Yarrowia lipolytica: one gene and its partner. The protein of the gene in region 1 purifies or fractionates together with the protein of each later gene. This does not show direct contact. Links are inferred from orthologs where the notes say so. Each region holds a gene or a part of one and is shown in the gene's direction. Other genes may lie near its edges.

The links.
Region 2: the proteins of YALI1_F13597g (region 1) and YALI1_A05220g purify together in Saccharomyces cerevisiae (affinity purification with western blotting; 4 studies listed by BioGRID). This does not show direct contact. The link is inferred for Yarrowia lipolytica from reciprocal best matches to the Saccharomyces cerevisiae genes COA1 and COA3.

What each region holds. Positions count from the first base shown.
Region 1 is NC_090775.1:1,358,334-1,361,825, reverse strand, and holds YALI1_F13597g (uncharacterized protein), read left to right. Parts: upstream 1-2,116; coding exon 2,117-2,788; downstream 2,789-3,492. Other genes in the region: YALI1_F13644g (uncharacterized protein), read left to right, coding at 1-407; YALI1_F13602g (mitochondrial 54S ribosomal protein uL3m), read right to left, coding at 700-1,554; YALI1_F13579g (mitochondrial 54S ribosomal protein uL6m), read right to left, coding at 3,240-3,492. UniProt on the Saccharomyces cerevisiae protein: Required for efficient assembly of cytochrome c oxidase in the mitochondrial inner membrane. Involved in a step coupling MSS51-dependent cotranslational insertion of COX1 to the addition of its heme A and copper B cofactors.
Region 2 is NC_090770.1:521,318-525,065, reverse strand, and holds YALI1_A05220g (uncharacterized protein), read left to right. Parts: upstream 1-2,304; coding exon 2,305-2,375; intron 2,376-2,991; coding exon 2,992-3,241; downstream 3,242-3,748. Other genes in the region: YALI1_A05254g (uncharacterized protein), read left to right, coding at 1-994; YALI1_A05229g (uncharacterized protein), read right to left, coding at 1,263-2,120. UniProt on the Saccharomyces cerevisiae protein: Required for assembly of cytochrome c oxidase (complex IV). With COX14, negatively regulates COX1 translation and is involved in MSS51 association with newly synthesized COX1.

The sequences.
Region 1 (3,492 bases):
TCAAGCAGCAGTGCCAGGTGCTGGCCAAGCAGATTGATCTGGTCGAGTCCAACGCCATCTCGGTGCCTCTGTACCAGCCCGGCCAGGTGCCCGATGGCACGTCCAACTCTGTCTATCTGCGGCAGTACATGGGCCACATGCTGCTGGAGGCCTTCCCTCATCTGACCGAGGGCCAGGTGTCCAACTTCATTGAGGGTCTGTTTGCATTACACAAGGACTTCCCCCGGTTCAAGCTCAATCTGCGAGACTTCCTGGTGCAGATCAAGGAGTATGGCGGAGGCAACACGGAGCATTTGTACGCCGAGGACAAGGAGCGGGATCGGGTCGAGGCCGAGCGACAGAACAAGGAGAAGGCTCTCAAGATTGGCGGTTTGGTCAAGCCCGCCGATATGGACGAGGATTTGTAGATCATGAGCGGAGCCAAAGATCCGAGCAAAATTGTAAGTGAGACCATCCATATCATTCAGTAAATATATTGTTGAAAATATCTGTGTACCATCGTACGATACTAGTACGAGTATTTGTGCCCGTATACTTGTACTTGTAATAGTATCTTGTATGTACAACTACTTGTAGCAACGATTCGCCTGGAGAGGGCTGTTGTCCACGACCTTATGCGGTTCTACAAGCCATCTATCTACCCCGTCGATTCTCTGTTATCCGCTTCCGCGGTTATTGCACTATGCGATCTATATACATTTATTCAGGGACCAGAGGACCGAGTCTGGACTTGACATCATGGGCGGCCACGCCGTACATGTTTCGGGCGTCGCTGAGCTTGACAATCTTGCCCTTGGAGCCGGGGACCATGCCCTTGACAATGACAATTCCGGTGTCCTCGTCAACGGATAGCACCTTTTGGTTCTTGAGGGTGACGGTCTCGTTACCCATGTTTCCGGCCATTTTTCGTCCGGGGAACACTCGTCCAGGATCGGTGTTTTGACCGGTAGTTCCTCCGGATCGATGCTTGAGCGAAACACCATGGGAAGCGGGCAGACCGGAGAAGCCGTGTCGCTTCATGACTCCGGAGAATCCCTTACCCTTGGAGGTGGCCTGGACATCGACGTACTGGCCGACCTTGAAGTGCGAGGCAGTGATCTCGGTGGTGATGGGAAGAAGGCCGTCCTTGCCGCGGATTCGAAACTCGGCAACCGCCTGCTTGGGGTTGACGGTGGCGGCCGAAAACTGGCCGAGTTTGCTCTTGTTCATCTTCTGCAGCGCCTTGTTTCTGTGTCCCATTCCGACCTGGACGGCGTTGTATCCGTGCTTCTCCTCGGTCTTGTGGCCCACCACCTGGCACAGATCAATCTCCAGCACCGTGGCGGGCATGTGCACGCCGTTCTCGTCGTACCACGAGATCATGCCTCGCTTGAACGCCAGAGCTCCGGTTCGAGACACCAGCTGCTTTCGGGCGTAGGCGGCCGCAGGCGAGTTGTTTCGAGCGGGAGCCTCGGCGGCGGGGACGTTGGCGTTGGGCGAGATGAGCTGGGCCACGCCGCGGCTGAACACGCGCACGGGAGTGGCCTCTGCCATGAGACGGAGTCGAGGCAACATTTTTGTGTGTGTGATCAGATCTGGGTGGTGGTTCTGCAATGTCAAAATCTTGGGAAATTTCACGGTAGGGTAACTTTGAAGCTAGGTGGGAGGACCAACCTGCGTTTACTTAGGAACCGAGGGGGGGTAATGACAACGGCTGAGAAAGAGCTGAAATACCATGGTGGACTCTGCAAGTTGATTGCCGGTGTCATTTTTTTCAATCCCACACTTTTTGGTGCTGGTTTGAAGTCATCTGTTTCCTCGATACAATTGTAGCTATTTCTCAAGTAACGCTGAGTCTGTTTGTTAAGTAAGTTAATCTGAGGTGAAAGTAATCTTAAGCGGACAGTATGACCATCGATAGGGGTCTTTTTCCCCCCAATTGCCCATAAACCAACCCACATCTACAGTGCAAATCTCTCTGTTAGTTCTTTCCGGTGCAACTTGCTCCCAAACACCTGCTACTGGTGGTCTTTGGAGAGCTCCTTCTACCCACACCCATACAAACTATAAAAGCAAATATACCGTACGTCTTACAATATCAGAGCAGTCCACCACACACCTCGCACACACTCACACAATGCTTCGACTACTGCGTCCCCAACGAGCTCTGCCTTCGTTGCTGCGACCTCTCTCGGTCGCCCGACCCCTGTCCACAACCAGCCGTCTGTGGCTCCACCAGCAGTCGACCGACGCCAAGAAGGACGACGAAAAGCTGCTGCCCGAAGACCGAAACCTGCGACGTTACGAGGGCCACACCTTTGAGCCGTTCACGCCCGAAAAGGTGCCCAATGCACCTGTCACCGTGGACACGGAGCTGCCTAACATTACCAGCCACAAGATGCGCCGATGGGCCGGATTTGGTCTGTTTGTGGTCATCATGACCGTGTCTCTGGCCTTCTCCTTCAACTACGAGAAGATGTCGTCTTCGCAGGTCTCATCTTGCATGTACACGCTCCGAAAGTCGCCCCTGGCCAACGAGGAGCTGGGCTCGGGTATCCGATTCGCCAGTGCCTACACCTGGGTGTCGGGAACCATTCGTCCTCTTGTTGGAAAGGTGGACTTCTCCTTCCCCGTCAAGGGAAACAAGGCCGAGGCCATCATGCATTTCAACTCGCGACGAGCCTCCGGCCGAGAAAAGTTCCGAGTGCTCGAGTGGTCTCTGACCTTCCCAGACGGACGAGTCGTCAACCTGGCCGACTCACTCATTGATCCCCTCATCATTGATGAGGAGGAACATCTTGTTAACTAGACCTTGTCATGTTGACGAATCCTAGAATGCGACGCTACTGTCGACATTCAGCTTATGTACATAGAATGACTAGCCTGCTTGAGTTGTAGACGTGAATGTAGCGGCCTATGGATCCATTTTGGGATAATATCAATAATGAGAGTCTCTAGAGCGAGCCGTTTGTTGGATATGATATATACATTAGCCTGTAGTACGAGAACTGCTTCGGTATCTTATCGGACTGTCAGACTCAGATACTCATTCAGACGAGTTGGTATCCTTGTCATCGCCTCTTGTCGGGGTATCGTTCGAGATATGTCATGCGAGGGTATAGCCAAAGCGGCGTGCGCTACTGTACAAGTACAGGTTCTGTTTCTACAGGTTTGTTGGTTGCGCGATTCATGCTAACCTCAACAGAAGCCACATGCTACTGGTGTCGTGTCAAATCTTTTCATAACCAATCTATTTACATTTATTTCACCTTGGTGGCCTTTCGGGTGATGGTCTCGTCGTCGAGGTAGATTCCCTTGCCCTTGTAAGGCTCCGGGGGTCGCTTGAGTCGAATGGAAGCTCCAAACAGCTTGACCTGCTGTTTGTCAGCGCCCTTGATGAGAATTCGAGTGGGGATGGGTGTAGTCACCTCGATGCCAGCAGGAATGACAAAGTTGATGGGGTGGGAGAAACCGCATCGAACGGAGACAATGGGAGCGCCGGTGTGGGCGTCC
Region 2 (3,748 bases), on another chromosome or scaffold:
TTACGACGCATGGGACGAGGCCCCCGCTCCTGTGGTTCCCAAGAAGAAGACCATTACTGCATCCAAGGTGGTCAAGCCCCGATCCGAGTTCCAGGGTTTCCCTCAGAGTATGACCAAGGTCAAGAATGCTGGATCTCGGGTTGCATACATGCCCAAGTCTGCTAAGCCTGAGAACATCATGCGGGCTACTTTTGCTAACGGTGATCACAGAGAGGCCACTTCTCGAACCCGAAGCACTGTGCGACCTTCCACTCTGGACCACAAGCCTCTTGTCTTTGGAGCCACTGACAAGGCTATTGAGGTTCCCCACGAGGGTCGATCTTACAATCCCTCTCTGGAGGCCTGGCAGGCTCTTCTCAAGGAGGAGCTGGCCAAGGAAGAGGCATTGGAGGAGGAACGACTGCAGCTGGAGGCCGACCAAGCCCGTGTCCAGCATCTCATGGACACCATGGAGGACCACGAGGACAAGCAGATGGATTACTCGTCCGAGGAGGAAGAGGAGGAGGCCTCTGATGAGGAACTCGAGGGCGGTAGCGTCGGTCTGTCTATCAACGCGCCTGCCAAGGAGAAGCGAAAGAGCATGGCTAAGCGACGACAGATGCGAGAACACAAGGAAAAGGAACGAATTCGAAAACAAATGAAGATGGAGATGAAGAAGATTCATGAGAAGATGCAACAGCTCGCCAAGCGGTCCGAGAAGTCCGAGCAGGAGAAGCAGGATCTCAAGGATCTCATTGCAGGAGGCGAGGCTGCCGAGAAGGTGCGAACCCGTCGGTACGGCAAATACGAAATTCTGGAGCCCACTCTCGATGTCAAGCTCTCAGGCGAGCTCACAGACTCTCTTCGACGACTCAAGCCCGAGGGATCGTTGATGCGAGACCGGTTCCGATCGCTGCAGCAGCGAGGAAAGATCGAGGCTCGAAAGCGACACAACCTCAAGCCCCGATACAAGAAGAAGGTGACCGAGAAGTGGTCTTTCAAGGACTTCAAATAGATGCAGATGGGATGGAATTAGTGAAAAGTAATATATTTTGGATTATACAGGATGTCAAGGTGAGATATTGGTATTGCGATACGACTACTGTATGTACAGGTACAGTGGTAATGGGTCTAATCATTTATGCGGAGCGAACGAGTTACTGTAGAGCAGACAATCTACAATTAGGACGGAAGAGATCTTCTACACTTATAAATCTGATTTTAAATAAATGCAATAAATATATAATACAGTAAACATAGTCGTGCAGTCACGATTTTTCGCTCTAAAATCCATACTTTGCTCCACTCTCCTTTTGGGTAAGGCGATTCTGAGAGTATGACGCCTCCAGCTGCTCCTTGTTGTCCTGGGCTTGTCGCAACAGACTGGTGATCTGGTGCTTGCCTCCTCCAATGGCCGTAAGAGGTCGCTTGTACTCGTCAAGCTTTCCTTCGGCCTTGAGTCTTTCCGATTCCTCCGTGAAAGCGTCCACTGAGAACTCGTGGATGTTGTCATTCGCCAGATTCTCAAATTCTCGATCTTTGCTTCGATTCTTGGGCCGAGGCGCTGCATCCAGCGTTTGGGCATGTGTTTTTTCAGAAACTACAATAATCGGTGGCTCAGCCACTTGTGTAACATTGTCCCCAATAGCCTGTGGCTTGATGATCTCGACCTTGGTGTCTTCCCTTACTTCCTTCTCCTGCTGGGCTCGCAAATTAAACAGGTTTCCGAGGCGTTTCGGAGCAGTTTGAGTCTCAGTTGTCGTTGAGTCCGCAGCCGCATCACCAGCAATAGTATCTACAACCGCAGTCTCTACAACCACAGTCTTTCCATCCGCCCCAACCGACTGGCCCTTGGCAGCTCGCTTTTCGGCTCTCAGCCGTTTTCGGACCGAGTTGGGCACCATTGTCTGCTTGTAAGATGCAGCGGTATTCACGGGGGACTCTGTCTGAGCCGGAGTCTTTTCCACCGCAGTTTCCTCTGTGCTAGTCTTGAGCTCTTCCTCTTTCTCAGTCAGCTTTTCAGGAACAGCAGTCGGGGTGTCCGTGGCGGAGCCCGCTCTGTCTGGAGACGCCGCTTTCTTAACGGGCTTGTTTCCCAACGCGCTGAACCGTTTCTTGTGTCGCAGTTGAATTTTTGCCATTGTCGCACTGATTCAGGAATCTTTTCAAAATCTTTTGGCCCATCACCACATATCCAGGAGAGCGCATCCTGTATGCAATGAAGTTACCCTACCTGTTCGCCTTGTCTCCAAACTCAAAATCTCATGAGGTCAAAATCTCACCACCCAAGGGCTCATATCACACACACCCACACATCACAGAAACATGTCTCAGGATCCCCATAACGGAAAGGGCACCTTTGAGGTGCACAAGCAACCCCAGCCCGGTCTCAAAGTGTGAGTATCACGACAATCGAGAGATTGACACGCCATGATATGTGTCGTAATCAGAGACAGGAGGTGGCTGCGACACTCAGGCAGTGTTGGCGGTGGAGGTTGGATTCGGGTGGCTAATGGTGGACGGGAGTGTGAAGAGAAGTTGTGGTTGAAATGGGCTATTTGAAGAGACGTGTTTGGTTGGTATTCCCCAAAGCGACTTGCAATCAAACTACCAATCTCACTCTCTTCAAGACACTACAGCTGCGTGCGACGATCAGAGCCACTGATCTCTCAATGCAACTCTGGGTTCAGTATCTACACGGACATTTTGTGACCAGGACAACACCGTGAATGAGAAATGTGTCTCCTTCATCCTTCTCTTCTCCAGAAAATCTACACGTTGTCTTGCTTGTGACAGACCCGTTTGAACTCTGCATTGCTGTGGCTAGCCACATGCCGCAACCAGCCAATCAATTGCTACAGCAAGCAGCACGTCGGTTTTATCACAACTACACCCTCTAAACTTTCGATGGTATCTTGAAGGACCTACTCCTGACCTCTGACCTCTGACCTCTGACCTCTGACCTCTGACCCCTGACCTTCGACCATGCTCGACCGTTCCATTCTAACACAGTTTCCGAAAGGGCAAGTACATTGACCCCAAGACCTTCCAGATGTCCCCCGCTCTGATTCGGGCCCGACGACCCTTCTTTGTGCGAAACATGCTCGCTCTGGCCGGCCTCACCGGTTTTGTCGCCGGTATCTACGGATACACCATGTACTCTCTGCGTACCGACGACTTTGGCGATGTGCCTATTCCTCCTCTTGATCCCGAAGAGATCAAGAAGCTCCAGAGCAAGTACAGCGACGACTCCAAGGCCTAGGTCTTTTGTATATATGTAAATAGTAAATTATTCTGACTGAGCACTGCGGGACTGACTGACCGTAATCAGGTCAGAAGTGCACCCAATGAGCTGTCTCATTGTGATTGTAGGTACGAGTAGACGACAATATAAGAACTCTACTCGTACCGGCACAACTGCGACCAGATACCATGTCCATCAGTTCTACTACTTGTAGCTGCCTGAAGATATGGTGCATACTGTAGAGCATGTAGGCATGTAGTGTTCGCTAGAGTAGGAACTGGACCCACTAACGTGGCCAATTGTAGTCGATGAGAGTTATATTGAACGAACAAGTGGAATTAACCACAAAATGTGTACTATCCTATCACCTCTATTTCATGTGAATGGTTTTATCTTGGGCGGTCGTCCAAACAAATATTCAAGTATCAGGTCAACTAAAAATTCCATAAAGTCAACTAAAATCCAAACTTAGTTTTGGATGACTGCTTCGTGCTAAACCAAAAATAGACTTTGAAAAGCAAGCTG